Yarrowia lipolytica: one gene and its partners. The protein of the gene in region 1 interacts with the protein of each later gene in a biochemical or structural test. Links are inferred from orthologs where the notes say so. Each region holds a gene or a part of one and is shown on either strand. Other genes may lie near its edges.

What was found.
Region 2: the proteins of YALI1_B28744g (region 1) and YALI1_E40540g form a complex in vitro, tested with the Saccharomyces cerevisiae proteins (4 studies listed by BioGRID, with this or other methods). The link is inferred for Yarrowia lipolytica from reciprocal best matches to the Saccharomyces cerevisiae genes LAS17 and ARP3.
Region 3: the proteins of YALI1_B28744g (region 1) and YALI1_C16255g form a complex in vitro, tested with the Saccharomyces cerevisiae proteins (2 studies listed by BioGRID, with this or other methods). The link is inferred for Yarrowia lipolytica from reciprocal best matches to the Saccharomyces cerevisiae genes LAS17 and BZZ1.
Region 4: the proteins of YALI1_B28744g (region 1) and YALI1_D10600g form a complex in vitro, tested with the Saccharomyces cerevisiae proteins (4 studies listed by BioGRID, with this or other methods). The link is inferred for Yarrowia lipolytica from reciprocal best matches to the Saccharomyces cerevisiae genes LAS17 and ACT1.

What each region holds. Positions count from the first base shown.
Region 1 is NC_090771.1:2,870,528-2,878,384, reverse strand, and holds YALI1_B28744g (uncharacterized protein), read right to left. Parts: upstream 3,929-7,857; coding exon 2,222-3,928; downstream 1-2,221. Other genes in the region: YALI1_B28781g (uncharacterized protein), read right to left, coding at 1-93, 202-232; YALI1_B28766g (uncharacterized protein), read right to left, coding at 1,484-1,680, 1,733-1,745; YALI1_B28735g (uncharacterized protein), read left to right, coding at 4,860-7,727.
Region 2 is NC_090774.1:4,050,277-4,058,097, reverse strand, and holds YALI1_E40540g (uncharacterized protein), read left to right. Parts: upstream 1-3,535; coding exon 3,536-3,569; intron 3,570-4,116; coding exon 4,117-5,315; downstream 5,316-7,821. Other genes in the region: YALI1_E40571g (uncharacterized protein), read right to left, coding at 1-997; YALI1_E40502g (uncharacterized protein), read right to left, coding at 5,821-7,821. UniProt on the Saccharomyces cerevisiae protein: Functions as ATP-binding component of the Arp2/3 complex which is involved in regulation of actin polymerization and together with an activating nucleation-promoting factor (NPF) mediates the formation of branched actin networks.
Region 3 is NC_090772.1:1,620,649-1,628,996, reverse strand, and holds YALI1_C16255g (uncharacterized protein), read left to right. Parts: upstream 1-3,114; coding exon 3,115-3,180; intron 3,181-3,491; coding exon 3,492-5,309; downstream 5,310-8,348. Other genes in the region: YALI1_C16294g (uncharacterized protein), read left to right, coding at 1-325; YALI1_C16283g (uncharacterized protein), read right to left, coding at 368-563, 620-624; YALI1_C16275g (uncharacterized protein), read right to left, coding at 1,221-1,487; YALI1_C16204g (uncharacterized protein), read right to left, coding at 5,632-8,348. UniProt on the Saccharomyces cerevisiae protein: Plays a role in endocytosis and trafficking to the vacuole. Functions with type I myosins to restore polarity of the actin cytoskeleton after NaCl stress.
Region 4 is NC_090773.1:1,055,624-1,063,279, reverse strand, and holds YALI1_D10600g (actin), read right to left. Parts: upstream 3,243-7,656; coding exon 3,236-3,242; intron 2,857-3,235; coding exon 1,736-2,856; downstream 1-1,735. Other genes in the region: YALI1_D10623g (uncharacterized protein), read right to left, coding at 1-946; YALI1_D10565g (uncharacterized protein), read right to left, coding at 5,263-6,741. UniProt on the Saccharomyces cerevisiae protein: Actins are highly conserved proteins that are involved in various types of cell motility and are ubiquitously expressed in all eukaryotic cells.

The DNA of each region.
Region 1 (7,857 bases):
CCTTTCGAGCCTTGGCGTCAGCCATCTGCTTCTGCTTGAAGGCGAGATCCTCCTCGTCCAAATCAGTCTGCTTCTTCTTGGGAGCCTTAAGAGCTGGGTTAGTGGGGGTTGTGGGGGGTTGATCACGTGGGATCGGCTGGTGAATCGATTAGTCATCGCATATCCGTCAGATTCGCGGCCTTTTTCCGCCACAATACTCACGCTTAGCTTTTCCACCCTGTCGTCCGGACATATTTGTTGATGATGGTTATGGCTGGCTGCAGAAAAATGTTTTAGAGTTGTCTGCACGTGACGACGTGGGTCAGCACGGATGTATCCGTAGATATAGGTGGTTACCTGGGACAATGGATGGAGAGAGAAAACCGTGATGTGTAGTTGGGGGATGTCAGGCTCATTGTGTTGCTCAGTCTTGCCCGTCTCTCGCGTGGACTTGTTATCCAAAGTTATGGATTTATAACAAACGGTGTACTAAACATTCAACTACAATGTAGCCTCACTTAGGAGAAAACACGGACAAGTCAAGAGTCCATGAACATTGTTAGAAAAGGGGTATATTTGTCACCACTTTTGTTGAAGAGTTGTATACCTGCATTCTACTCGTGTACTCGATGCATCTCTTGAACGTCTTCATTAGCAGAATATAATGTCTTCTACTATCTCTTAACTATCTTCAACTAAATAGTTCTCAACTACGAATGTACAGTATGTGATGTGTGGGCACACTGATAACCACCTACAACCCCAACCCTGTTATGCCATAAAAGGAATGTCGTGTCAAGACATGGACCTCCATGTAATAAACGATAGTGAAGATTGACATTGATGGTAGTGGTCAGAAGTGAACAGTTGAGTGGTTATAATGTCACCTGGCCTTGCTCAGAACACCTTCACGTGACACAGACAAAGTCAATTCAACACTGCAAAGCTATCTCTCTGCAATATAGCATGTATAGATACCATGGTACACTACTTCACGTGATCGATATATCCTAATATTCACAAACAGGAACCACCCACAGACACTCATCGACGCCAATTGAACCCCTCAATGACCCACAATTCCACATCTTCCTCATTCTCACCTCACCTACTTAACTCCCAATCAGGACACCAGGGCAAGGGTTGAGAACGTGTGTTATTCGCTATCTATGCATGGATTATGCTTCGCCGCTGCCAAGCCTATGTTCAACCTGGCCAAGTCCGAGAAATCCTTTTTTTTTTTTTTTAGAAAAGAAGGACTTTTTGGAGACCGGGGCTGTTGATGCCGCCGCCCCCACAGCGGCCCACAAACCTACTCACTCCGGAACAAGCCTATGTGTCTTAAACAACACATTATTCCCGATTGGGCCAGTGCCGTGGGAGGCAGTGTCCAAAGGGACAGGCCGGCCAACAGAGGCTTAGAGAAGAATGGATGGGTTCGAGAGAAAAGGCATTGAGCTGGTCAATGAAGGAGTATCGAGTCGCACAATGACAAGGGGTCCACCTAAGACACCAATTGGACTATTACTTCATTACGTAAGGCCGATAAACTGATGCAGCCATCTTCGGTAGAGCGAGTGAAAATCACGACGACGACGACGATCACCAAGATGTTAACGAGGCTCACGTTATCATTCGCAATCAATACGAGATCCCCGGAGGCTGAAATAACCGGAGATTCGCCAGCCACAATGCGAGTGACTGTTGTTTATTGGATTGTCTGAAGTGAAGACAAAGGACATCCAAATTGCACGGTCAGAGAACATAAACAAGCAACAAGAAATTAATACTTGTAGTGTTCACTGTAATAAAGCACGTGACTCGACCACCGTCACGTGACACAAAAGACGTGCTTCAAAACGGTAACTGAATCAGACTATTAACTATCAATCGTAGATGTTCAATAGATGCTATGAAGCATTGGATCCACGATAGCAGAAGACGGTGTGACCGCGTCTACCAATTATACACCATGTCTATGGACAACATACTCGCTTTGCTCGTAGCCCCATCGTTTCATCTGTTAATTACATAGTCATTATACTACCAGTCATCACCGTCGGACTCGTCGTCAGACTTACTGACCTGGCCCTTTCGTTTATTAAGAGCCGAGGCCAGGGCGTCTGCCAGCGAGTTGCCACCGCCAGGAGCTCCCGGGGCAGCCGAAGGAATGGTAGGGCTCTCTCCACGAGCCTCCTGCAGCATGACCGAAGGTCTATCAAGTTGCGACTTGTCCACCTTCTTAAGAGAGCCGATTCCACCAGCAGCTGTGATAGACGACAGCAGCGCGTCTCGACCAGCGTCTCCGGTAGGAGGAGGAGGAGGACCAGGAGTGACTCCAAAGTCTCCAGAAGGGGGGGAGGGGGAGGAGGACCTCAAGACATGGCTGGGGGAGGACCGGGGGGAGGAGGGGAGCAGCAACTTCCAAAAGAAGGGAGCAGCCACAGGAAGAAGGCGGAGGGGGTGGAGGAGGTCCACCAGCTGCAGCAAGTTCAGGGCGGGGGGGCGGAGGGGGGAGGAGGAGGGGCACACACCTCCAGGAACTCCAGGAACAGGTCTCGACTGAGGCCGGGGGACGGAGGAGGAGGAGGAAGAGTGTATGAGGCTCTGAGTCTGCCGCTGGAGAAGAGCTGCTGCAGGGAGGGGGAGGGGGTGTGTATGCAGTTTGGGGCAAGCAGCAGGGGGGGGGAATTGGCCGATCTGGAGGGAGGAGGAAGGAGGTTTCGATTAGAGGAGTGGCTCCGTCTCTGGGTGGAGGAGGGGGAGGGGGTCCTCCTGCTGCCGGGGTTCCTCCTCGTGCCGGCAGAGAGGGGGGAGGGGCAGGCACAGCTCGTCCAGGAAGTTCTGGAGGAGGAGGCACCGATCGTCCTGGTAGTGCAGGGGGCGCTGGCGAACCACGAGAGGGCAGCGACGGCGGCAGCGACCGTCCTGGAAGCGCTGGTGGGGCTGCTGCTGCTGTTGGAGAGGCTGGAGTTGCCGCAGGAGGCGGAGCACCTGCGTTTTTGCCCATGAAAGATGGGGGAGGCGGCACATTGAACCGTCTGGGGGGTGCTACAGCAGCTGGTGGGTCGGAGGGAGCAGCAGGGGTGGCCGGCAAGTCGGGCTCTGGAGTGCTAGAGTAGCTAGGGGGAGCCGAGGCCGGCGGGGGAGGAGGAGCTGCTCTTCTGTCGTTGTTTTGGGTTGATTCAGCAGCAGCAGCTGGGGGAGGAGGCGGTGGGGGTTTTCGGGCATTGGTATCAGCCGAAGAAGAAGTGGCATTACTCGTGCTTCGTCCCCGGCCTCTGTTTCGAGGGATTGGAGGTTCCAGACCCACCAGAGGACCTCCCGTCTGTCGAATGTGTTCCTTGATGAACTCGGTGTTATCGGCAATCATCTCCGGAGTGATTCCCTGCTCCTCCAACTCTCTGTACAGCGCTCGCCATTCTTCCGGCGGCTCGTCGTCGTAGTAGACGGGTCCCGAGTATCCCAGTCGAGTACGGGGTTCTCCTCTGGGTCCCACGGCAGCCTTTTCTGCTGGAGCGGCCTTTTTCAGCGCAATGGCGTTCTTGTTTTTGACCGTATCCTTGCTGGCGTACTTTTCTCTGTTTTGGATCCGCTTGAACAGGTGAGCGGCCTCGGACTCGTCTTCAAACAGAAAGCCTGCAAAACAGTCCTCCAGCTCCACCGAGTGAAAAAACGTTCTGTCCTGGAAGTAGTTGACGCCAACATACAGCTCCTGGTCCCAGAGCACGCCTCGCGACCCGTGGATGTCAATGAGCTTCAGAAACAGAGTGTGGCCCACAAGATCGTCCACCAGAGCTAGCGCTCCAGACAGCCCGGTGTACTGCCAGTTATCAGGGTCCGGGTAGGCAATGTAGAGACGTGCGATGGTGCAGTCAATCACCTTGTTGGTGTTTTTCGGCACCACTCGCTTGATTTTCTCCTTGTCCGCCGAGTTGAGAAGACCCATGGTGGTGTGTGTGGATGTTGCTGATGGAGATAGAGTGTGCTGTGGGAGTGCATGCGTGGAGGACCCGTGTGTTAGTAAGCAACCATGGAAAAGTGCGGTAATTTCTTAGTTGAACGTATAAGAGTGGTACTGAAGCTGCGGTGAGTGTGAATCCATCTTCTGTTTTTTTCAACCTCAACTACAATCTGTTTTATATGCTACGTTATCCGCCCCCTCTCTCATGTACACATTCAGATGCCACCTAAATGGCTCACAGTGGTGGTATCTCCATGGACTCGGAGTTAAGCTGTTCCCAACGGCGATTTTCAGAGTGCATCAATACAACATGTACAGGCTACAACCGGGTGGAGGTGGGGGGGGGGGGGGGGGGGATATAAGCCGGGTCACGTGTGACATTGCATATCGGCCCATCCACCTTGAGCTTTCATCACGTGACCACACCACGGGACCATAATCTGGGATATCCCAAACCCAACATTCCATACTGTTCTATGAGTCGGTTGTATAATGGAGTGGAGGGTGGCAGAAGTACAGCACGTGCAAGTAGCGGGATTACATGGGTGAATGGTGATTTTGACATGGGGAATATGGACGAAAAATTTGGGCCTGATTTCCATATCACAAAGCGTGCGGCTGACCTGTCTTCTCATTTTCCGAATGCTTTCGGTCTGACGTCACTGCTATTGAACTAATGAAAGCAAGATTGTTAATTATAAGCTCCACAGTTATTATACCTGCTCTACTACCGCGCTTGTACATCTTTACTCCAAGGTCTGAAGAAAAAAAAATTGGCCTTGAGGAGTCAGCACTACTTTGCACCATTACACGGCAGAGGTGACTGACTGGACATATAAAGAGCACTCGACACACGGCACGCATATCCACTTACTCACAACGCCACCAACCAAGGTACAGAAGACAAACACTGAAGATGAGCGAAAACAACGGGCCTCCTGATCCGGCCCGGGACGCGGTGGCGCAACTATTGCGGAGCGCTCTGCGTCGAAATCTGGACGTCCAGCACAACAGAGAGGTGGTTCAGGAGTACATGGACCGGCTTCTGAATGGAGATGGTACGAACACAGACGCAGCGCCAGGAGACACAAATGCAGCGACGGAGACAACAGAAGCACCAGCATCGACAGAGGCGGCAAGCGCGACGCCAGCAGAGACTTCTTCGACTGCTCCGGGCACACAAACACCCCCTCAACCGCCTCATCGACACATGCCTCGTGATCGGCCTATCATGTTGGTTACATATTCACTAGGTACAACTCAGGCGCCGCCACCCGGCACGGCTGACAACACCATCTGGAACCTGGCGACGGAGGCATCGCGACAGGCCCGGGAAGCCCGTGGACGTGAAGCTAGAGGCCGTGCTGCTGACGGAGGAACCGCACAAGCATACCGATCTCGGTCCCAATCGCAACGAAGAGCCGGAGATCGCACCCGGGAACGATCCCCCATGCGTACACGGGTCAGTGATGGTGGAGCCGAGGCTGCCAGAGAAACGGCAGCAGCAACCACTGACTCCACCGCTGAGCCAGACGAGGCTGGTCACGTGCATCTCAACCAAGCCGCCGGAGGCTGGTTGAGCAACCCATTGATCCAGCGGCTGCTGCAACGGCGGGCTGCTGGAGAGGATGATGCTGGAACAGATGCGCCTCCAGACACAGCTGGTGATGCCCCCAACATCACATTCAGTCCCGGAGGAATCGACCACCGCCCTGATGGCACTACTACGGCTACATTCACTATCCCTACACACATGTTTGCCGGTGGTGTTCTAGGAGGAGGGCGACACAAGCCCAAGGCATCACGACGGGTGATTCGCAACCTCGAAACGCTGGAGCTGAGCGAGGTGGTGGAGCAGAACTGTCCGATCTGCTACGATGCATTCGAGGAGAAGCCGCTGGGCTGGGACGCTATTATCGCCAAGTTGGCCGAGCAGGAGAGAAAGCAGGAGGAGGACCGACAGCAAGAGAGTCGAGGGCTGGCGTCGGAGGCCAACACATCCAGTGCATCTGTGTCTTCGGATCCGTCGTTCGATTTCAACCAAGTTAATCCTGCGACTTCAGTACACGGTCCAGTGCTCATTGAACTAGCTTCTCCCAGTGAAAGAGCCATTCAGGCCGAGGCTGACGAGATTATACGGGCTAGAAACGATCCTGGAGTCGAGGAAAACTTGCGCCAGGCTCTGGACGAGGCTACCAATCAGATTCGGTACATTGTCGACACCCCTGAAGATGCTGCTGCCTTCAGAGAAGCCAACCCTCAACAGCTGTGTCCTATCATACGTGTGGACCCGGAGGCAGGTCCACGTCAGCCGTTTGTGATTCCCCGGATCCCCGAGGGTCTACGGGAGGCACATGAGGAGGTTGCTTTGCATCGGGTACAACAGCGGGTGATGGAACGGACTGTTGAACGGCAGTTTGAGCGTCAAACTACGGGTGGAACGACAGAGCGGACGCCGCCAGCTACTGCTGGTACCTCTTCTACGGGATCCACGTCTGAGACAGGGGCTGAGACAGGGGCAAACGCAGAGTCAAACACAGAGACAGAGACTGAGTCGGAGGCTAACTTCCCTGAGAGTCACGTGGCAACCAAGATGCCCTGTGGTCACATTTTCGGCCATCTATGTATCTGTGAGTGGTTGCGGTCAAACAACTCGTGCCCTCTGTGCCGAGTGACCGTTGAGTCCGAGTCCGAATACCTGCAGGCTACCGGTCAGCCCGACGAGTCTCGGTCTGGCGGCTTCTTCGAGGTCCTCTTCAACGTACTACCTCGTGTTTTCCAGGAGATTGAGGCAGACCGACGCCGTCACAACAATAGCAACAATCCCCAGGGCCCCCAGACCGCGCAGGGCGAGATCAACGCCAGCGATATGTTCCGTGGAGTTCCTGCAGCAGCTAGAGCTACTGGGACAGCTGGTGTAGGTACCATTGACGCCCGACCTCCAGTTGTCGGGCCTCAAGGGAACGTGCCTCACTTTCTGAGCCGTGGAGTTGAAGGCTGGCCGCAGTTGTTCCACGCTCACCGTGTAGAGACTGGCACTGGGCCCACACAGAATCTGCCTCCCGTTGTAGATGTGATTCGGGAGTTTCAAACTAACGCCCGAAGAGCGGCTACAGAAGGAGTTGGGGGTGAGACTGGAGCTGCAGGGAGAACTGGGGCCTCTGGCACGGGAGAAGGTGCTGGCGCTGAACCCCACACTCACAACCACACCCACACACATGCTCACGTGCACCAGCCAGTTCCTGGCATCTACGTCTATCATCGTCCGTCTGACTTTTTTCGGCTACATGGAGATGCAGGTGAGGGTCCACGGCAAGAGGCTAACAGAGTTTCAAGCTCTGGGACTGGGAATGTTGGAGCTGCAGGCTCTGCTTCTTCGCCTGTGGGGCAGGAGACGTTGCAGGCAATCGGGACCGACGGTGGGGACTCCGGCGGCAGTCGCGACAGCAACGCGGGCAGTAGCACCGACAGCGGGTCTGCGAGTGCCTCCGGCTCTGGCTCTGGCTCTTCGTCTAGCGGTACTGGAGAAGGACTGCGTAGCCGACTGATGGAGCCTATCATGAGGCGCATTTTTCGGTCGCGTGAGCCTGAACGTCATCATCCCTACCGCCGCACCAGCGGGGGAAATGGGGGTTCTGAGTCTGGGTCCAATTTGGGGTCGGGGTCGGGGTCGGGGTCGGGGTGTCGGGTCGGGCTCTGGATCTTGGAAGTCGGAAAATTAGACGAGATGTGGGAGTATGGTATGATACGGCTTGCGCAGGAGCACAGAAAACGAAAAAGATGAATAAACAAAGTAGCATATGGTACAAGTACAGTACAAATTCAAGTACTTGCAGTTTACAGGGTTGGAATGAGGGTGTATGTACGATACCATACTGGTGTGGCTATGACGTAGGTGCTTGTAGAGGAGTGGT
Region 2 (7,821 bases), on another chromosome or scaffold:
TACTGTAAAACTCTTCAGCGACCTGGTCGGCTGCCAACAAGTTGGTTTTAGAGCCACCATAAGCTTCCAGGTGAGCATTGGAGTGGCCGTAACCAATATTTTCTTCTTCGGTACCCAGGAACTCGATGGTGGGCAGTGTGGGTTGTTTGGACATTCTCGAGTTCTCCAGAGCCAGGTTCTGCATGCCACGTTTGTGGTACTTCGCAACTAGGTGTGCCACTCGTTTGTCTATTCGGACACAGCAGTACTCTTCCAGCGAGTGACACCTGTGTCGTTTTACTTGGGTCCACACAGAGCATGAACAGAGCATTGCCAGAATGAACATGAACATGGAGATGACCCAGATGAGCAGCGAGAATGCCATGAAGGATACAACGACAGCCTCAATATGTGACTTCTCAGCCAGAGCTGTAACAGCCCCCACAAAGTCGTCGTCAATTTTGAGCACTGAATACAGAGTGAGAGCATTTAGAACCTGTCTCGGTCCCTCAGCTAACAGGAGGTTCGCCCAGCCCTTGAAAGTGAAGAAGACAAACAGGGCAACGTAGTCGGTGAACTCCTTAGACTTGGTGATCTTAGCAAACAAACAAAAGTAGTTGAAACCTTTGATGGAGTAGATTGTTCGACAGATGGGGTTTGTGTATGTGAGACAGATGTTATACCGTTTCCACACACGGTAAGCCTGGATGTAGTCGTAGATGAGAAGCACAAATGAGAAGAGAATGCAGCCTCCAAACAGCCATCGGGAGATGTGGAAGGGCACGTAGGGGGTGATGGAAGAGGCCCAGCGGTCGAACGCCAACAACATGATGGCTGTGTAAATATCTGAGGCATAAACTGCCAGAGTGATGATGATCTGGACATACATGAAGATGTACGAGATGATGATTCGGAAGGAAGTGCTGTGGAACTGGGTCATGTCCACCAGGTCGAACGACGACTGGCCGACTTGGCGTGCCCATTTCTCCCGGTTTTCAAAGCAGAAGAATGGGAACATGAGAATGGGTTGTATGCAGTTATGGTGATGAGATAGGAGTGAGATGACTTACTGATTCAACTCGTTTAGGTGGTGTGCAAGAGGAAATGATATGTTGCGTGAAAAGATGTACGCCGTCGTACTGAATATCTTTCGAGAGCCGTCTATCTTGTCTGTATTGTCCTCTTGTGAAGTTGTTTGTATCGCCAAGAGCAGTCTTACAAATAGTCACTCTCTCGTTGTCCGTTGTCAGTCCGATGATGTAATGCTGATGCAGAGTCGATGTCGACTTGTGTCTGAGTCGGTGTTGGAAGATGGACAGTCGAAGGGGTTGTTGTATGCAAAAATTATGCTCCGGGTGGTTCGGTTTGTCCTCTGTCCTCAAACAGCCCCAGCGATGAGGCTCCAAGTGGTTGGTCTCAACATCTCACCCACCTGTGCACCATAGTGCATACCCACCTACTACCCAAGGTTAAACTCGGCAGATAATTTCCCTGTGTTCACATAGTCCAGAGCCCCTAGGTAAGAAAAAGGGGGAGCGCGTGTAAAAGTGATACAAGTGGAAATGTGCCAATTTTACAGCGAGTTCTACTGTTACAAAGGGTTGAAATTGATTACAATAACCCAGAATTTCCCCAAACGGTCCCCCTCTGTCATTCTATCTCCACATCGAACCCTCCTTGTCGATCCAAGTGGGCACTGCTTCATAAAAACCTTAGCGCTCCCAAAGTTGTGTCTGTGTGGCTACGCGTGGATCTGAAACATGAAACGCATATCTGTACGAGTCGTACAATACGAGTACTTGTACTTATGTTATGGCTGTTGGGTGACGTTTGGAGCCGTAAAAATCTGAGAGGTATTTTCCAGACATATATATATAGAAGACTTTCCTGGGTCTTCCGTTGTTTTTATGGCTCTCCAACCCTCGTATTTAGTGTTCTTCGCTGTACACCATCTGGTAATTAGGCGTATGTTTGGTGTCACACGTAACAAGTGTTTTAGTATATACGCCACACTAGTCGTGGTCGGAGAATGAATATTGAGACTAACAAACATGATAGGTGAATTTTTCAGTATGTCAGAGTCAGTTTGGCGAAATAAATTCCTGGTAGCTCCTGTATCAATGACTTTAGCGGTCTTCTATATCGTCGTCTCCTCTCGAGTGTTTTCAGTTGTCTCCACTACAAGTAGTTCCTATTTATAGCCGTGTGAATGTGTTGCATGCAAATTACAAGAGCGAGAGAACCAAAAAAAAATAAAAAAATGGTTCGTGAAACTGAGACAGTGAACTGACTGTTGTGAAAGACGATACACATAGGTGTTATTGGTCTTTTAGCCGTGGAAAAACACACTTGTACCTACAAGAGCCGGTACACGTGGATAGGAAAAGTTTGATGGTTATAAAGATGAACAGCAGTACAAGTACGAGAGTATACTGAAGGCCGACATGGAAAAGCTACAAGTACATTTGAGGTATGGCGGGAGCAGTCTTTCTCCTTCAATACATGAGGCAGAGACCCTTCAGAGTTAAACTAAGAAGCCAACTGGGATACGCCAATACTTGGGTCAATCGTTAAAGGGTGAAGCTGGTGGGATACAAGTACAGTATACAGTATGTACGAAAAGTGAGATAGAAGGTCCTTTCCATGCATATAAATGCGTTAGATATGACAAACCAACAAAACTGCATTTTATGTCATACTTATCGAGCTCTCTCAGAGTGATACATGATCCGCCTAACTAACTGTAGAAACAGTAACCTCCATCTTCTCAAAGGGAATACAGTACACACAGTAGTGCAAAAAGACGTGTGCCATTATTATATTCACAGCTGACAAATTGCTACCAACTTGTGTGTATGGTGTATACTTTTCATACCGTTGAAAGTGGTGTATCCGTCATACTGTGTCTTTTGAGACCAACAGTCGTCGACCACCACCCAATTAGACCACTTGGGTATTAGAAGAATAATAAACATTTAATAAGTGTCATTCCAACTAAACTTTTTCACACCAAAGTAATCCTAACCAAGTCCCGTGGTCTTGGTGCCATGATTCAATCAATGTTCCAATCACACTAGGAACCAATTCAAGAGAAAAAAATACATCTTCCTGATTCCAGTGCTCCCCCTGATGACTTTCCTATCAACGTATACCTATTTTCCATCCCGGTGCTCAACCTGTGCGTTTCTATCTTGCGTCTCTATCGTGGATTATTAAGCGGTGGATCACCCCAGAAGCAACCATGGGTCAATCATAGACCATGAAGTACACAAAAAAAGCAATAAATTGACGACAGATCTTCTGAATGTCAACTATCACTCCTCCCTAGTTCACTTGAAAGCAATCACATGATATTTCGGACATGTCACTGCACCATATCAGACTGCACTAAACACGCATTATCTCCGGTCCTCCCACTTCGCACCGCACACCCAAATTACAGGTGGCCACTACCGGGTAACTCTATATGCCGCAACACTGCTTGTCAGTTACAGCACATACATCCCGACACCAGCCCTTGAGCATCATCTGCTAACAAAAAATCAATTGAGCAACAATGGCGCATCTGGGAACCCCTGCGGTTGTCATGGGTGAGTATCGCGTGACTGGATGGACACGGCAGGATTTTCAAGGGGACTCTACTAACTTCAGACAAGTGAGTAATTCAGTGGTTTATCTCCATTGAGACATTTTGGAGAGGTGATGAGGGTTATGCTGTGGGATGATGGTGATGATGAACAGAATGAGAATGAGAGAAATGAGAAGGAACAAGAGAGTGCTGACAGACGATGATGGCTGTTGTGGAATGTCATAACCAACTATGGTTCTTCAATCGATCTTTGGACACAGGCCGCATGTCGATATTGATACATCGACATCTACATCGACGAAGACACAACGACATAACGATACAGTCAGAAACATACAGCAACGGAAGCGATCAGTGGCTACACTAAGATTATGTTATCATATCATCAGAGAAAACATAACCCGTCATATTTGTTTCAAGTCCTCTTTGTATCATCTACGCAAACCCGATACCCCACATTGATATGTGATTGTGTGGTGTGAAAGGCAACATCAACACCATAGCCTGTCATTCATCCCAGCCCACCCACGACCAAACATATACTAACTACAGCGGTACCGGTTACACAAAACTCGGTTTTGCCGGTAACGATGCCCCCTCTTTCGTCTTCCCTACAGTGATTGCCACCGCCAAAGGATCTTCCGGCGGCAACATCAGTCGTAAGGGTACCGAAGACCTCGACTTTTACATTGGCGACGAGGCCCTCGCCGCCGCCAACGGCCCTGCCTACTCGGTCAACTATCCCATTCGACACGGTCAGATTGAAAACTGGGATCACATGGAGCGGTTCTGGGAGAACTCGATTTTCAAATACTTGCGATGCGAGCCCGAAGATCATCATTTCCTGCTAACTGAGCCTCCTCTCAATCCCCCCGAGAACCGAGAAAACACCGCCGAGATCATGTTTGAGTCTTTCAACTGTGCCGGTCTCTACATTGCCGTACAGGCTGTCCTGGCTCTGGCCGCATCTTGGACTTCCAACAAGGTGACTGATCGATCTCTGACCGGAACCGTCATCGACTCCGGAGACGGTGTCACCCACGTGATCCCTGTCGCCGAGGGTTACGTTATCGGCTCGGCCATCAAGTCCATCCCCATTGCGGGCCGAGACATCACCTACTTCATTCAGAACATGCTTCGAGACCGAAACGAGCCCGACACGTCGCTCAAGACCGCAGAGCAGATCAAGGAGAACTACTGTTATGTGTGTCCGGACATTGTCAAGGAGTTCAACCGATTCGACAACGACCCTGACCGATTCCAAAAGTACATGGCCGACCAGGGTCTGCATCGACGAGCCACCGTGGATGTTGGATACGAGCGATTTTTGGCCCCTGAGATCTTCTTCAATCCCGAAATTGCCTCGTCCGACTTCCTGACCCCTCTGTCCGAGGTGGTCGACACCGTGGTCCAGTCCTCGCCCATTGATGTGCGACGAGGTCTCTACAAGAACATTGTTCTGTCTGGAGGATCAACCATGTTCAAGGATTTCGGCCGACGTCTGCAGCGAGACATTCGAACTCTTGCTGACGATCGACTTGCTGCTAACCAGCGGGCGACCGGAGTCAAGTCTTCGGGAGTCGATGTGAAGGTCATCTCACACTCCAAGCAGCGAAACGCTGTATGGTATGGAGGATCTCTGCTGTCTTCTACTCCCGAGTTCAAGAACTACTGCTACACCAAGCAGGATTACGACGAGATGGGACCTGGTATTGTGCGAAACTTTTCTCTGTTTTCCATGGTCTAGGGATTGTATGTAGTGTACATTTATGATATAACGATTGATCCAGCCCAGTGTCATGATACACGAGGTGAGTTGGTAGAAATGTTGGGTGTACTATAGAAGGCTATGTGTACACTATGTTGATAATTAATTATAAGAATACTGATGAAAGAATTCTCGTCTCAAGAGCCAATGACCCTACGTATTACGTAGTGTCCTGTGCCAAGAGTGCGTAATATCCGAGATAATAGTGCAGTTGACGTTGGTGCACAAGCCAATGGCAGCACGTTGTGGTTATTGTGGCTTTTCCTACTCCGTTGCTCCTGTCTGCTGTTATTGCTACTGCTACTGGTCGCTACTTGAAGCTACTGTCTGTGTGTAATTATATCTAATAAATGTATTCAGAAAATGCTAAAGAATAAATAGAGATCTACCAATCGATAGACCGTGAAAGTCAGAGAAGAATGTGGTTGTGAAAAGTCGTGATTGTAGAGTCGTAAAGTGTTTTGAAGTGGCCCTAGCGATCTGCTTAAGATCGCATGTAGTTGAGCAGACCCTGAATACCAGCGTCGAAGCCCTGGTCCCACTCCCAGATGGCACCGGAGTTACCCTTAGCAGCAATGTGCTGGGCTCGTCGGGCGTCCTGCCAGGCGTTGATTCGGCCAATGGTGGAGCCGTGGAACTCGTAGAAGGCGGCAGCGTCCTGCCATCCCGAAACGTATCCATCGGCGTATCGCCAGTGCTCGTAGTTACCCTGATGCTGGTCCCAGTAGGCAGAGTGCTCCTCGGTAGCCTTGGTGGCTGCCTCCTTGATGCCGGCCTTGGGATCCTTGTTGGAGCCTCCGTTGGAGAAGGTCGGGAGGGCGCCCTTCTGGGTCATGGGTTTGAAGCCCCAATCGCCTCCATCGCCGTACTGGAACTTGTAAGTCCAGAAGAACCATCCGGCTCGGGCATTCTGGTTGAAGGACTCAATTTGAACCTGGCCGTACTTGATGGCAAGCTGCTCTCGGTCCTCACCGCCGGCCTTAGCCCAGGTCTCCTCGGAGAAGACACAGGAGAACTCGCCGACAATAGAATCAGCCTGGGCCTTTCCAACATTGAGGTAGGCGGGAACGTTGGCAATGTTCTGCTGGGGAGAGTTGCCCTTGTCCTGCTCGGAGAAGGCCTTGTAGACGTGCGAGTCGACAACAAAACCAGTGTTCTGACCGGCAGAAAGCTTCTGGTTCTGCTCCTGGACCCACTCGTTCCATTCGGTAGGAGCCCAGCCATCGGAGATGTAGACGGGAACGTCAGGGTTCACCTGTCGGATGGCCTCGAGAGCTCGCAGGTAGTAAGAGCCCTCCTTGGAAGTGGAAGCGTCGTAGACGGCCTCGTTGACGACCTCGATACCGAGAACGTTGTCGTATGAAAGCACGTCCTTGGCGACCCACTGGAGAGCGTCAATAGCAATCTTCTGGTCGCTTCGAGAGTCCCAGAACTCGACCTTACCGGAAGAGGTTCCAGAGTGAGCGTCTCCGTTGGCGCCGCCGGGAACGGCATGCAGATCAATCAGAACAGCAATGTTGGCGGCTCGGGCCTTGTCGAGAATGTTGGTCTTGAAAATGGACCAGGCGTTCTGGTAGACGGACTGGTACTGCTGGAAGGGGGTGCCCTGGGTGAAGGCGCCTCCGTTGATGGTCCAGTAGCCCATGGGCACTCGGATGGCGTTGGCTCCCACAGACTGCAGGTACGAGAAGTCGTCGTCGGTGATCCAGGTGTTCCAGTGGTCCTCAAACTTCTTCTGGGCGCCGCCGGCACCCTGTTCGGCAACGAGAGCGGTCACAGCGTCGAGCTCAGCGTCTCCCTTGGCGGAGTCGGGGAACATGCCAGGGGTCAGCCACTTCTCGAGAAGGAACATGGAGCCAATGTTGGGGCCATGGTTGTTTCGCGACTGGAAGATGGTTCGGTCATTGGGAGCCTGGTTGGGCTTGCTGAGGTCGGCAGCGGCCACGGGGCCAACGTTGTTGACCATGTCTCTGATTTTGGTTCCAAGTCCCATGTTGTGAGTGTCGGTGGTAGTGTCGGGGGGGGAGTCTTCCTGGTGAACGGGGATAAAGAGGGGGATGAGACTGGGGTTAGGCTCGGTCTCAATTGATGCGGTGGCAGGTTCGGGAATGGAAGAAGTAGAAGAAGAAACCTCAATGGTGTGGGTCTCGGAGCTAAGATTGCTACCAGAAGTTAAGGTTGCGGTATATGCTGCGGACGAGGTACCAGCTGAACTTTGCTCCCGGAGAGCAGCAGCAGAGGCAGAGGCCAGTCCGAGATTGCAGTCGACAGAAGTCTCGACGGTGTCTCGCTTGTTGTGGACAGTGCCGCTCAGGGCAACGCCGTTGAATGCAGGAAAGGGTTTGGGCAGAATGGTAACATATCTGACTGTGGGGGAGGGTTCGGGGGTTGCGGCGTCGGAAATTATCGTCTCAGAGGCTGTTTCGAACACGGTTTCTAGCACCGTAGAGTGAATCTCCACAGTGACGGCGGCAGACATGGCCAC
Region 3 (8,348 bases), on another chromosome or scaffold:
GGTGGTTCTACAGCCTGGTTACTCACCTCTAGATTGGGCCAAGCTGCGGAACTCGGGAAAGAACCTCAGAGGAGTCGATACCATGGGACCAGTACGTGTGACCAAGGATATGCTAAAGGAACACCGCAGCAAGGAGGATGCATGGATGGTACTGAATGGCAAAGTGTACAATATCACGCCTTATCTGAACTTTCATCCTGGAGGAGTGCCAAAGTTGATGGTTTGTGCGGGCAGAGACGGTACGAGCTTGTTCATGAAGACTCACGCGTGGGTCAACTATGAGAATATCTTGGACAGATGTTTTGTGGGGTTCTATGTGGGCTAGCCAGTCGCTTACCATAGCACACACTAGACAGGCATCTATTGGTCACGAGTACCAGCACTCACGCCGGACATTGGTTACATGATTGACATGTGAAGGAGTCTCTGAGAACACTGACCTACTTTTGTCCATTGCTGGTATGGAAGTACTGGCGAGTGGTTCTCGAGAAGAGCATTGAAGATAGCATAAGAGAAATGGGTGGAATGGGGGCAAGACTGCACATTTACTTGTGTTGTAAGCTCTTCACGGTAGCCACGGGGAATCTAGTAGAGCTCATAGACTTAAACATATGCCCACAGCATGCCAGCAATTCTCACGATTGACGACCACTCTTTTATCCGCGATCTAGCCGTTCGCTTGGATCTCCTCGACTGGCAACCCCTTCCCCCCGATGCGCCTTTCGAGACTCAAGCACAGTATGATACAGTATCGTACCAAGACAACATGCCATTAAACCATGTAGTATCATGAGCTATACTGCGATACCAGCCAACTCAAGCTTGGATACAAGACTGTCAGAATCATTCAGTGGCGGATTGGGAACGTCTATAAATGTGAGCACCAGTAAGAGTAAACCGTCAAAACTACAGAATCTACGTGTAGTTACAGAAGTAGTATACCAATTGAGACTGCTTGCGACATGGTGTTACGTGTTGCTCGAGAGGCGAAAGAAGTACTATCATCGGGGATACGAGCGCTACAGAGGTGACTACAGACTTGCAGCATGACCACAGTGTATTTAGTGACAGAGCCTGGCTTACCTTAGCAGACAAGTTCCATGACACCGACACTGTTTGAACTGTCGTGTCGGTTGCTTCCTTCAAGCGCACGGTTTCACGCCGTTCCACGTCGTTTCACGCCGTTCACGTTTCTGTTCATATCAATCGCATGCATTACTCTAAGCGTTGAGTCGGAAAATGTCGTTGAAGACATAGTACGAAGATCCATCAGGGATCAGGTGGAAAACCTGGGCGTAAGGGAGCGGGTTGTCGCCATCAACGCACAGCTCTCCGGTGACAAGCACAATGACATCACCTCCCTGAGCAGAAGCGGGCTGGGCGTCAATATCAGAAATCTTGTGTCGGACCTGGCCAAAGGGAAGGCCAACAAGTTTCTCAACGATAGCCTGGGCACCCTGGTGCTGAGTACCGGTGAAGGTGAGCATAGAGTGATCTCGGTAGAGGTTACCGAGCTGAGACCGGTCGGTATCGAAGGTCTGGTAGTAGAACTCGCAGAACTGCTTGGCGAGGGTGTTGAAATCGACTGTGTTAGCGCTTGGAACGAGACGTATTAGGGGTGATACTCACCAGACATGATGGTTGTGGTAGATGTACAAAAAAAACAAGTGTTGTGTGTATGTATCTAGGGTAGTTTTAAAGTTAGGGTTTGGGAAATAAGGGGGGTGTTGGTTCGATTCCGGGGTGGGTAACACTCTCCAGTGACGAATTGAGGGCCAAAGTCAAATGAATAGTTTATACAAATCCACAAAATCTGTCCACTACATTTAATTACCTTCATTTTGGGCCTGTTTGCAGCCATTAATTACAAGCAATCGAAATCAGCTAAATATACTTTCAGTTAAGCGTTGCATTTTAGAGTTTGTATTAATAAGCACATGCCGAAGCTCTAGAAATTTCTCTGGAGGGTGAATATTCTGATGACAAGGGACGGACTCCAGCACCCAATTGAGATTGTTGCAAGCTGATAATTGTTCCGAAACTTACACTACTTCCATGGTCTTCTTATTGCTGATTTTACACCACTGTCCAGAAGTCGCTTATAGAATGTCAACATATAGGAAGCACGACCAATTTACTCTAACGCACAGGGAATTGCAGTGAGTGAATAGAACCAAAAAAAAGAGACTTGTATCCAGTTTCAGCTTCATCAATGGTCGAATTCAATGTTTCTCCCCTTCCTCAAACCTCTGCAGGCACTCAAGGACGAGGCCGAGGCTCGACCGGTCAAAAACCGAGTTCAGTCCTCCACCACTCTTATCGATCGACGGTCCTTCTACGCGTATCAATGCAATTACCCGGTCTAAGGGTTACCCGTCTTTGAGTGTGGCAAGGTTGATCAGTATCGTACTTGGACTTTTCTATAATCACCTAATTACCACTTTAACAATTACGCAACTATACATTCACAAGGCTACTTAGATAGTATTTACTTTTCGATACGAATACTCAACATCGTCCTTGCATTCCCCCAGCGATGAAAAGAGCAAACATAGAAAGCAAATATGAAAAAGCAAACGTGACTAAGCAAACGTGACTAAGCAAGTGTGACTAAGCAAACGTGACTAAGCAAACGTGACTAAGCAAGTGTGACTAAGAAAATGTGACTAAGCAAACGTCACTAATCGTTTCAAATCTCCACCGCCATCTCTGGTAGGGACACAACCCCGAAAGTGGCTGTACCCGTGACGTGCACTGCCATCATCGAAACGCCAGCCGCTAATCGATGTCTACACGCTGGCTTTATTCCGAAAAATTACATTACCAGTCAACATTCCCCACACAAGTTAATTTCAAAACGAGGGAGATGCTTCGTGTCGGACACGTGATATTGAACCGTCACTACATTAAATAAATCCAGCTGGATGCGGGCTTCTCAACCATCCTTGTCACGGCTCTCCTGCTCCATCCACCTGCCAGATCTCTACGGATATTAATCCGGGTAACCCTTTAGCGTTTCGTGTTGCGTCTCCACGGCAACCCGCATTATCCTGCCACATGTCGTGAACAACCTGCGTGAACCACTAGCTACAGGAACCAGAATACAACATCAACATGGCGGACGTTCAAGTTAGCATGGGCACCGAGCTGCTCGATGGCTGGGAGAAGGTGGACAATTGGGTGAGTGTGGGAAGTGAGGGAGCTGTCCACATGATGTGACTAAGACTCGTGGTATGGAGTAAGGGGGAGATAAGAAAGTGTCGGTATTGGTGTGATTCTTGAGCTGGCGGTGATATTTTCTGTTATAAACGGCTCCGTAGCAACGGATGAAGGTATAGTAAGCCCTGTCTGGTATATCCTCCATCTTCGCATCCAAGAGAGTCTTATTTGGGCCAATCCACGGGTTTCTCTGGAGTCACGAGGAGACGTGGCTAGGCGCCAATTATCTCCATTATCCTCTGCAACTTCACTCAAAGTTCTTACTAACACAGTCTCAACACGGAATCGCCTTCCTCTCGGATGTTCAGTCCTTCTACCGAGAACGAGCCTCCATTGAAAAAGAGTACTCCCAGAAGCTCTCTTCGCTCAGTTCTAAGTACTTTGAGAAGAAAGCTCGAGTGTCTTCCGTTCTATCAGTCGGAGAACATCCTGAAGTCACTCCTGGGTCTCTTGAATCCGCATCTCTTGTCACTTGGGGAGAAATTTTGACCCAGACCGAAACATTGGCCAAGGAGAAGAACCGTCTGGCGTCCGAGCTCAACCTCCAAATCGCCGACCAGGTCCATGCCCTGTCCCTGAAAAGTGAAAACGTCCGAAAGAACCTGCAAACGTTCTCTGAGAAGCTGATTGAGGACCGAGATGGATACTACTCGCTGCTCAAGAAGACCAAAAACGGCTACTACGACGCCTGCCAGGCTGTCGAGAACCAGCGGATGAAGGGCCAAAAGGGAGGAGCGCTGGGCGGTCTCATTGGTCAATCTAAGGAGAAGTTGGAACGGAAGCTTGAGTCGAAGAACGCCGACATGAACGACGCCAAAAATATGTATCTTGTAAAGATCAACGTCGCCAACCGTCTCAAGGACAAGTACTATCACCAGGATGTTCCTGAACTGCTGGATAGATACCAGGAACTCAACGAACTACGAGTCAAGCTGCTCAACGGACTCTTGAGCAAGGCTGCTTCTCTCGAAATTGCATGCAACAATCGATGCACCGAGCATATGAACGCTACCATTGAAATGGTTGCACAAAACCATCCCGTTCTTGACTCTGCCATGTTCACCAAGCACAATATTGCCCCTAACGGATGGGAGGAACCCATCGACTTCATTTACGAGCCGTGCCCTATTTGGCACGACGATGAGAACATGGTTCTCGATGATGTGGCTCTCAGATACCTGCATACTGTACTGGGCGACTCGCAGCGACTCAGCCACCAGTTCGAAGACACTATTGCGTCCAAGGAGGCCGGCTTCCAGGACTTGGAGAAGCGAAAGGCAACGAAGCTGGCCGAGGCAGACTCTGATTCAGCTTCCAACAACCACTTTGAGCTGCTTAGTCAGTCTATCAACGCTCTGAGAAGTCTCACGGTGGACGACACCAAGCGTACCATTGCAGAAGTCGAAACTGAGACCATCAAACACAACACTGGTGAGAAGGATCTCGACTCATACCAACCCGTTGTGATCAAGAAACGACACAACTTCTTGTTTGGCAAAAAGAAGATTGATCGAAACATTCCGGAACCGACACCGGTGAAACGAAGCAACACCACCACCTCAGGATTTGGCGGCACGGGAAAGTTGATTCTGGACACTCTAACATACAGAGAAGGAGACCCCATTCCATGGAACAAGGAGAGTTCTGCATTGGTGTTGTATAGATATGAACCTCAGGGAAGCGACGAGGTGTTCATTTCCGAAAACGAGCATGTGACTGTTCTTGAGACCGATGATGGCTCTGGATGGATTCGAGTGCGGAAGAGCGATGGCACTGACGGACTTGTGCCTGCTTCATATGTCGACATGAACCCTCCCAAGAGTGCCACCACACCATCCTCTGGAGGTGGAGGTGGAAGCTTGAAGTCTGCGTTCTCAATCAAACGAAAGGGTCCTCCTGTCGCGCCCAAACAGGGTGCCAAAAAGGTCGATTACGTCACCGCACTGTATGATTACAATGCCCAGGACGATACCGAGCTGTCGATCAAGGCCGGTGACCAGATTGTGGTGGTGGAGCCCGATAGAGATGGATGGACGGAGGGAGAGTTGAACGGACAAAGAGGTGCTTTCCCCACAAGTTACGTGGAGTAGCTGATGAGACCAACGACTCGAACTTTTCAGCTATGATGCTAACGAGTGGTATAAAGCATAACGAATAAGTCAGTTGTTTGTTCAATGATATTGCTACTTTTTGTTCACCTACAGTGCGATCGTAATTATATACGCGCTGATGGTATTAATCATACAAGTACAGTACGCTGGTAATCGAAGATCACCGCCCAGAAGTTCAATCTACCACTTACACCAGTATAGTATGTAATGTACAACAGCCACACAATTGCCTCTACGCGGAAGCCGCTCATATCTATATTGCAGAATAATACACAATCATTTATTATACACACACGTCCCACTAAGGAGTGGGAGAATCATCATATCGAGGAGCATCATCCGTGGACCAGGCTGCAGGGGTTTCGGCCTGAGCAGGTCCAGAACCTCGAGGATCATAGACACCCGGAGTTCGCGCGTCGTTATAGGCAGCAGGTGTCGGAGCAGAATCTTCCCAAGGATGGTGAGCAGCACCTGGAGTAGGGGCACCCATCATCTCACCAGGAGTGGCAGCAGCGTAGCCTGGAGTGGGAGCCGAGTTGCCGCTTCCGAGATCTTCCCAGCCCTTGTTTCGCGAAGAAGAGCCGCCGTATGTTCCTGCAGACGACGACTTCCACGAAGGCGTACGTGCGACTCCAAAGGCCGGGGTTTTCGACCCAGCACCAGCTGCTCCCCAAGCTGGAGTTTTTGCCCCGCCCCATGCAGGGGTGCGAGACTCTGATGCGCCCCAAGATGGTGTTTTGTTTCCCATTGCTCCCCATGCGGGTGTCTGTGCACCTCCTGCATTGGCAGCAGGTGTTCGCGAACCCCAAGACGATGTCTTTGCCCCACCCCACGACGGGGTTTTGCTTCCCCACGACGGGGTCTTTCCACCTGCTCCCCACGACGGGGTCTTTCCACCACCACCCCACGACGGGGTCTGTCCACCAGACCCAGGTCCGCCAGGACCAGGGGGCCCTCCAGGACGACCACCACCCGATCGCATACCTCTAGGAGTAGCAAACTCCATGTATGACAGGTACGTCTTCTTGTAATCGTCGTAGATTCGCAGCTGGTGTTTCAGAACGTTGACAACCTTGCAGGGAGCGTGAAGCTCGACTCGAGCAATATCGTCTGTGGTTTCCTTGACAATACCCTTGCATCCCTTGTGTTGAGAACCAGGCCCGATAGCAACATGCTTGCCCTTGAGACGGTCGAAACCTCCCTGCTTGGGCATGACGGGAGGAGCCATCTGGCCAGGTCGGGCATTGTAGACGGCAGGGTTCATCTTGGTGAGATCGGGACCAGTTGCTTGAGAGTTCGACTGTGTTCGAGCTCCTTTAGCAACAATGGTATTAACCTTGAAGGCCTTGGCGACAAAGACGCCGAGAGATCGGGAGCTGAGGAACAGAGTGTTCTTGTAGATGTGAAGAACGGCACCTTGTCGACCCTCACCGACGGTCTCTCGAACAGTATCGCCAATTTTGATCTCAGAACCGTTGGAGTCGGTGGCCAGACCTTCCATGTTTCGAGTGAGCTTCATGGTGATAGAAGAAGGAGTGACTGATCGAACAGTACCTTCTTGGTCGAGCACCTTCAGACTGTCTCTCTCCACCTTTACAATGCAACCGACATGAAGAGCGTCAAGCTGCACAAAGTCGTGGAGCTCGTAGTCACCGACCTGATGTGAACCTCCAATATCAGACACCTTCTTGAGATCCTTGGCGAACACTGTGACTTCCTTCTTGTTGAGATCGGACAGTAGAGTCACGGAGTCGTCCTCTAGACCCACAATCAGACCAGTGTCGTCGAGGAAGTTACCGGAAATGACTCGCACGTGATCACCAATGGCAAACTTCTTTCGTAGAGATCGGCTAGGCAGATCGATGCGCTTTCCAACCAGAGGAGCCGTCGTGGCCTCCACGGTGACGATATCGCCGTGTGTAGAAATGACAGTACCTTGAACACCGGTCTGCTCACCTTCAGACACTTCGACGACATCTCCACCCTGAAACTGGACAGCCGCGGCAGACTTTCGAAGGCTCTGGGCAAGAGAGGCCAGATCGATACCGTCAGTCTCCTCAGAGTTGAAACGGGTCAGCTCCTCAAGCTTGGGCGCAACGTTCTCGGCGTTCACCAGGGTGATTTTGAAATCTTTGTACAGGAAGCCTCCGATGTACTCGTCTCCCGCGTAAACGTACGCATTGGGGCCACGCTTCTGCAGATTTCGAGGGTCATACTGAGAAGCCTCCTGCTCAGAAAAGAGTCGTGGGGGAGGGATTCGGGCCACTCGCTTTCGTTTACCGTCAATTCCAGCCTCTGCATTTCGTCCATAGTCGAGACGGGGCACCAGCTTGAGACGAACCTCAAGACCATTTTCAGACAAATTCTCGACAATGGCGAGATCGCCGCCATACTTTCCTCGCTTGAGACGCACGTATGCGCCGGGAACGAGCTCAGTCTCGGCAGACTTGGTGGCTCGCAGAAGATCAACGTACTCCTTGATGGGCACCAGAATCATGTTCTGAGGATAGACGTTAACCAGACCCTTAAGAGCCACAGTCACAGCCTGCTGGTTACGGGCCTCCATGTAGATGTATCCGGTGAAGGTATCTCTTTGAAACACGGACATGATTTCCAGCGGGTTTCTGGACTTTTGTAGAGACAGTTTCTTTCGAAGACATTGTCGAACCAGCTCCTTTTCCTTGCCGGGCTTGCATCGAATACCCCAAATGGAGGGCTCATTGACAGAGGGAAGCAGCAGATGCTGGGGGATCACTCCACTGTCTCCTCGGTACTTGTTGGCTGTCGATCGACCGTACTTTTCTCGGTACTCATCGGCCAGTCGTTCGGCATCCTCTTCGGCGATGGCTTCTCGTCGCCGGTCCATCTCTCGATGGAATCGGTCGTCCGAGGCATCGGGCTCGTCGGCATCAGGCTCAGCAACGAATCCGTCTTCTCCAATGAGTCCATCTTCGTCCTCCTCAAGATCCTCTTCATCTTCATCCACCTCGGCCTCGACATCCAGGAACTGGTTTCTTC
Region 4 (7,656 bases), on another chromosome or scaffold:
GGATCTTGGACGAGAAGACCTGGACGAAGTTTTGATCCCAGAAGTAGATGGTTTCTCCACAAAAGGTGATGAAGAACTCGCCCGACGCACACACTCGAGTGACAGGCTCAGTGTCGAGTTTGCTCTTGTCGCTGTCAAACTTGATTTCTGTGCCGGTGAGAGTATTCAGATCCCACTTTTTGAGAGTCTGGTTGACAGACACGGTCAACAGGTGGTTCTCAAAGTTTGTCATAGAGATAATAGCGTGGATGCTGAGATGCGGCATGGACGCAATCTTGTCCTTGCTGAAGAACCGGTCCTTGAGGCTCGTGAGATACGAGGGGTCGGAAAATAACGATGTCAGAAACAGGCCGTTCTTCTCTTGTCGTTCCAATTTCATGAGTCCTCCGTCGCATAAAGATAGCACAAGTTCGTTGGACTGGCCCTTGAGCGACTTGAGAAGAAGCGGCTTTCGGCTTCGAATGCCGTAGTCCTCCTGCTGCTGAAAGAACCGTGAGGTGTCGTAATGCTCGGTGTTGTCCTCATTGAACAGAGCAAATGGCAGCTTCACGCTGTACAGCAGAAAGCTGTTTGAAATGGAATCAATGTAAAGAACCCCATCCTTTTCAGTCACACACGTGCAATGGTTCTGTAGTCCCTCGGGAAAATAGATACGCACACTCTTGCGATCGTGATTCACTCCAGTCACCTCCATGATGTGCGACTCGTCGAAGAAGCGCACAGAAAACTCGCCATTGGTCGAGCTCTGGAACATCTGCCCTTCCTTGGACACGTAGCGTCGCAGAAACACCTCCTCGGCATCGTCAGATTCCAGTTTTCGCTTTCTTTCGTCCACCACCTTTTTCGTGATCAATTTCGAGCCATCAATCTCCACGTTGGGAAACAAGTATTCCACTTGTTGATGGGTGCCGCCGACGGGCTCCTCTCGAAACGTTTTCGCCACCATGTCGTTTGGTAGTTGTGCGGATGGAAGAGATTTCGAAGCACGTTGTTTGATACTCCAATATTTTGACTACTTGTATTTTTGTTTGCATGCATACTCCGAACTTAACTTGTCGAAAACATGGCGACAGGCACCGCAAGATACAGCATGTACATCCTTCTACTTGTAGCTCGGTGAAGATGAATATGTAAATACTAAATATGGATATATAGATAGGAGGGATGTATATACTCATCATTGAGCAGTTATTAAGTCATTACCTGCTATATCGCCGCATATCCCAGGTTACCACCCAGAGTTGTCATCATCTTAACCCTGCTTTCCCTAAACTGTAGGTGCTGAGATATCAGCCTCAACTGAACACAACTGAATGCGTCTGCTTGAATCAGCCTCTGAAAGACGACTGCGCATTTAAAAACAATAGAACTACTGCACGTCGCACCTCAGAAGGTAACACTCTCTTCGTGGTCACTAAGCATACTGCCCAAGTGTTGTTGTCCCAAAGTATGCCACACCCACACACACCTCTGGGCACAGCTGACTTCCAGGATATTATTACTTCTGTTCATACCATCTCCGTTCATGAAGTGTTACAAAACAGTTACTTATACGAGTAATAGGAGCTCATGCAATAAAACACGACTACACCCTTCAATGAATGGAGTACACAGCTATGACACTGGGGTTACACTTCTCAAACTACACTCACCTTGACTTCGATTCATACAATCGTTCTTTAAATTACATACAGCAGAAAACGAGCAAAGGCTTGCACAACAGCAATCACCACACTTAGTAACACTTTCGGTGGACAATGGTGGGTCCGGCCTCGTCGTACTCCTGCTTGGAGATCCACATCTGCTGGAAAGTACCAAGAGAAGCAAGAATGGAACCACCAATCCAGACGGAGTACTTTCGCTCGAGGGGAGCGGTGATCTTGACCTTGATGGAGGTGGGGGCAAGAGCGGAGATCTCCTTGTGCATTCGCTCGGCAATACCGGGGTACATGGTGGTACCTCCGGACATGACAATGTTTCCGTAGAGATCCTTTCGGACATCAACATCACACTTCATGATAGAGTTGAAAGTAGTCTCGTGGATACCAGCAGCCTCAAGACCCAGCATGGAGGGGTGGAAGAGGGCCTCGGGAGCTCGGAATCGCTCGTTACCGATGGTGATGACTCGGCCATCGGGAAGCTCGTAGGACTTCTCGAGAGAAGAGGACTGGGAGGCAGTCTGGAGCTCCTGCTCAAAGTCGAGAGCAACGTAACAGAGCTTCTCCTTGATGTCTCGGACGATTTCTCGCTCGGCGGAGTTGGTGAAAGAGTAACCTCGCTCGGAGAGAATCTTCATGAGGTAGTCGGTAAGATCTCGGCCAGCCATATCGAGTCGCATGATGGCGTGGGGGAGAGAGAAACCAGAGTAGATGGGCACAACGTGGGTGACACCATCACCAGAGTCAAGAACGATACCGGTGACTCGACCAGAGGCGTACAGGGAGAGGACGGCCTGGATAGAGACGTAGAAAGCGGGAGCGTTGAAAGTCTCGAAGAAGATCTGGGTCATCTTCTCTCGGTTGGACTTGGGGTTGATGGGGGCCTCGGTGAGCAGGACGGGGTGCTCCTCAGGAGCAACTCGGAGCTCGTTGTAGAAGGTGTGGTGCCAGATCTTCTCCATGTCATCCCAGTTGGTAACAATACCGTGCTCGATGGGGTATCGGAGGGTCAGGATACCTCGCTTGGACTGGGCCTCATCACCAACATAGGAGTCCTTCTGGCCCATGCCGACCATGACACCCTGATGTCGGGGTCGACCGACGATGGAGGGGAAAACAGCTCGGGGAGCGTCATCACCGGCGAAACCGGCCTTGCACATACCGGATCCGTTATCGATAACGAGGGCAACAGTTTCGTCTAGGTTAGTATGGTGTGGTTATTTGATGGATTGATTGATTGCTGATGGATTGCGCTTTTCCGGGGGCTGGTTGGGTCATGCGCGGCAGCATGCGACATTATCAGTGTGGTGACACGTCATCGCAAAGCGCGAAGGTGCCCAACGGCAAGACGGACGCTCTGGGCTCGCAAGCGCTCTCGCAGCTCCATCCGTTCGATGATGGATTGATTCGCTTGCTGGCCCGTGGCTTTGGTCGCCATGTTGGTGGTGATGACTTGTCGCTGGGGAGAAAGCGCCATTTGTGGTTTTGTGTCCAATCCAGGGACCGACTCGCCATCAATCCAGACAATCGATGATGGCAAAGCCCGCTGTGCCATCGATGGCATTGGTAGTACTCACCTTCCATTTTTAATTTGTGTGGTTGTTGGTAGCAAAGAGATTTGTCGATGAAATACCGATGGAGGAGAGGAGAAAAGTAGGAGTTGGCAAACACAAAATTGGGGTGCGCTGGCTCGTCTGGGTTAGGGTTAGTTATGTCGCACTGTCCAGCACACCACACAGCACTCACGGTTGGGAAGTAACGGAGACAAGGCCACATCTCAAAGGTAAAAAAGCACTGCCGAGGAATAGGGGAAGGTGGCTGGTGGAGGGGGTATTAGGACTGGTAAATGAGCCGCTTAACCACTGGTATTTGGTATTCTAGAGGAATTGAAATCGATCCGAAAGTTACAGAGCTCTAGCCCGTCTGGATTGCCCTCTAACAGCACCGTCTTCTCCTGTCTTTGCCAAGCACACTCCCTTCCAATATACTGTTATGTACGAAACTGTGTGTGTGTGTGTGTGTGTGTGTGTGTATTGGCATATACGATTTGACTGACAAAAAAAAGCCTACCTCTATCTCCCCCAAGCTTTTTGGGGTCCTCTCGGTGCTAACCACTGTACCGGAGATTATGTCAATGTTGCGGTATATTTTGAAAGTGGTGGGTTGGTGTGCGGTGAGGGAGAGAGTGGGAGGGGTGAAAGGCGTGGATGGGGTAATTATAGCCTCGGTAATATCTCCGATATCCGACTCTCATCTGCCCTCCTCTAATGGCACCTCCTGAATAATATCGGACCCCGGTAGGCGTATTTTTGCTTACTCGCTGCTTGGTGCGAATCTAAAAATACCGCACTGTGGTTGACCCCTAATTTTTAGTGCAGAGCCATATATGCGACCTAGTGCGGCTTAGCATCCATGTGAGCAGGCGGTGCAGGAGAGATTGACAGCGGGGAGCTATTTGTGGGACAGTGAGTGGCTCCGACTACAAGTATTCTTTGTGCCTCTTTTGCCAGCACAAGTAAATGCCAGCACATTGTGGAATATTGCCGGTTCGCTTCCCCCCCATCTACCAAACAAGGTTGGTCAATGTTTGGGATCGGGTAAAACCCTGGCCCTTGACATGTGATTCGCGCGTTATGGAAAGCAAGCGACGGAGATAAGTTGAGAGAGAACGCTGCGCAAACATCTGGAAAGAGCTCATTCCCCGCCTCTCTGGGCACAGCTCTGTCTGAATAGCCCAAACTCAAGGTTATCGCGGGTGGCTTGTGTCTGTTTACCTCGTGGACGTCCCAAAGTGCTCGTCCCAAAATGCCGCCCCTTTACACCTTATTCGTATCTCGGCGATGCTTAACTCCGGTGAAATTGCCTGCCGCAACCCACATAATCTCTCAGAGCTATATTTGGTCCATGTTCCGGTACGAGTACGAGCAGAAACGGGGTTGTCAGGCCGTGCCCCGCAGTGTACAGCAACCCACATGCAGTACGTGGCGATATCAACTGCACTCTGCACATACTCGTACATTGTATCGTGCCGTAGCGCAACTATCTATCAAGTACACGTACAGTAGCACCAAACCCCGTCTTGTACTTTCCAACGGTTGGACCAAAAAGCGCCCAGTGCCCTCCACTTGTCCATGTCAGACACATTCCGAAACGTCGATATGGTAAGAAGAAGTTTCCTGTATGGTCGCATCCTATACAGTATGTACGTGCTTCCCTCACCGTAAACATCGTGAGTAAACACTTGGAGCCTGTGCACTGTGATAACGATATAAGCACTCAATTGGGCGAAGATATGGAAATGCGCGTGTCAATTGCCACCTAATTACCGGTATATACAAGTATTACAGGGCAATCTCTTTCTATATCTGGGTAAAGCGCTCCTCATGTCTTGCATAACAGCTCTTAACCGGCAGACATACAAGTACCAGTAAATAAACGCCCGCACCTCACATACTCTACAGCTGTACTTTTACGCCATACATACCGTACAATTCATCATACCATTACCTTGAGGGGCACTCATTACCTCCCAGTGACCACATCTCCACTACTTTTTTTTTATCTGCTATAATTATATCTGTTATACATGCTACTATCTAACCCCTTAATGCACAACATCGTCCCAGGTTCGACCCTTGACGCCACTGAGCTCCTCCTCAGACATGACGGCGCCGGTGGTGAAATAGCCAGCCGCAATCTTGGCATCGATCTCGACTCGAGAGTCCGGAGGAATCATCTCGTCGGGAATGGGCACACGCTCGTGGATGGGGATACCCTGCTCCACAATGGCGTCGTGCTTCATGTTGGACATGGACAGCATTCGGTCAATCTTCTGGATACCCAGGAAATGCAAAATGTCGGGCATCAGTGCCTGGAATCGCATATCCTTAACTCCGGCAATGTTCTCCGTTCGCTTAAAGTACGTGGCAGCTGAGTCGCCTCCTCGCTTTCGCGCATTATACACTAGGTACTTCGTCACCTCGCCCAGAGCTCGTCCCTCCTTTCGGAAGTAGATGACCACTCCCGAGCCACCCTTCTGGGCCTCCTTGACTGCTTCGGAAATACCAAAGGTCAAGTAGGGTCGGCAAGTGCAGATATCGGAGCCAAACACGTCGGATCCGTTACACTCATCATGGACTCGGAGAGCCAACTTCTTGGAGGGGTCCGAAACTCGGTCTGGGTCGCCGAAAATGTACACCGTCAGGCCTCCGATGGGAGGTAGGAAGACCTTGATGTCTGGTCGGGTAACCAGCTCGGGGTACATTCCTCCAGTGTCCTCGAACAGGGCACGTCGAAGCTCCCCCTCCGTGATTCCGAATCGCTCGGCGACTCCGGGCAGATACCACACGGGCTCCACGGCCACCTTGGTGACCGCGAGATCTCCGCTCTTATTGAGCACAATTTCGCCATCAACCTCCATGGTTCCGTCTCTGACCTCGTCTCTGATTTCGGCTAGTTGCATCTGCGCACGAGTAACAGCGATGGTGGGCTTGACTACAACTCCTTCCGCGATCGTCTCATGAAAGAGCCAGGGAGCTAGATGACCATAAGGGTCCATAGCCACAATCTTCTTGGGGTCGGACCATTGGGGGTGGGGTCCAAAGGTGTGCAGAGGATAGGCGTTGGTATAGTCTGCTCTGTGTGTAACGGGCAGGTCGTTGGTGGCAACAGCCAGTGCGTGGTAGATACCATACGATCCGTGGTGGGCTCCGATGGCATTTCGCTGCTTGAACGACGATTGATCACGGGCCACAACAATGGGACCTCGCACCTTGGGGTCCTCTGCGCCCCATCTTAGAGGAATGGGCTTGACGCCACTCTGTCCGGGGTAGGTGGTGAGAATGACTCGTCCCTCGTATTTGGGGGGCGACAGAGGCGTGACAAAGGGCTTGTCTGTCTCCATTTCTGTGTCCTCGTCGTCTGCTGGCAACATGGGTGGGGTGAGGGTCTTTGTAGTCTGGGCAGGGGTCTTTGAGGCCGCCTCGAGAGCAGACACCTGTTTGACGAGCTGCTCCATGGCCTTTGCGTCTGTGGGGTTGGCCTGAATGTCCCTGAGGACGTCCATTACTGACTGTACTGACATTGTTAACGTGTTGATGGGTGTGGGACAGTAAGGGAAGAGTGACGTGCTTATATGTGTTTTTGGATTAACGGTTTGGGCGGGGAGCACCCATTTCACGCCTCAAGCTGTTCCTACGTTATCCGGCGGGTGATAATGCACTCTTGATGTAGAGTTTAAGATAAGACTCCAAAAGGGGGCAACGAGAGAGAGACCCTGCCACTGTTTTTGAGGGGTTTTCCAATCCCGCGGTGATACAGGGAGTCTCAAATTGCGCCCAATTTTCCACGCTCCTATTATATATATTTTAATCCCTTTCGGCGACTCTACCACCTGCCCCACCATGTCTACAAGTACTCCTCGTTTGCCCCACCAGAGACTGCTCGGGTCATGTGTGCAGCTCCCAAGTAGCACGTTATCTATCGTACTTGTGTATTATGCAGGCTGGGGCTGAGTTTACCCCAGCTGGGAGATAACGAGGGCGATTATGCGCTTTTAATAGGCTGTTGGTCCAGCCAGGAAACACAACAAGATAGCAAAGAATGAGGTGGTCGGAGGAGCCGGGGGCTGCTACTAGTAGCTGTAAGCAAATTGAAGATGACAACCGGCGCACGTGATGGATCCCACATGATCAAACCAGTTTGTTGCTCTCAAATCTCGAGTGACACATGGCTGTATCATGCCATACTCAGTACGAGAACTACAAGTACGAGTGCACTTCGGGTCGCATTTTTTGCTCTCTAAATACGACTAGTATGTCAACTAATTGAAGAGTAACCTTGTTAGACTACGCGGCTTATTACTTGGTGTGGGCTGTGTGTTTGGATCATCACCCACCCCCGTATGTACCGGCCACTATCGTACTCGTAGCTAACCTTTGCAGAATGAAACTTGAGTGTTTCCCAGAATGAAACCGAAAACCAAACTAGGCCTTCCGTC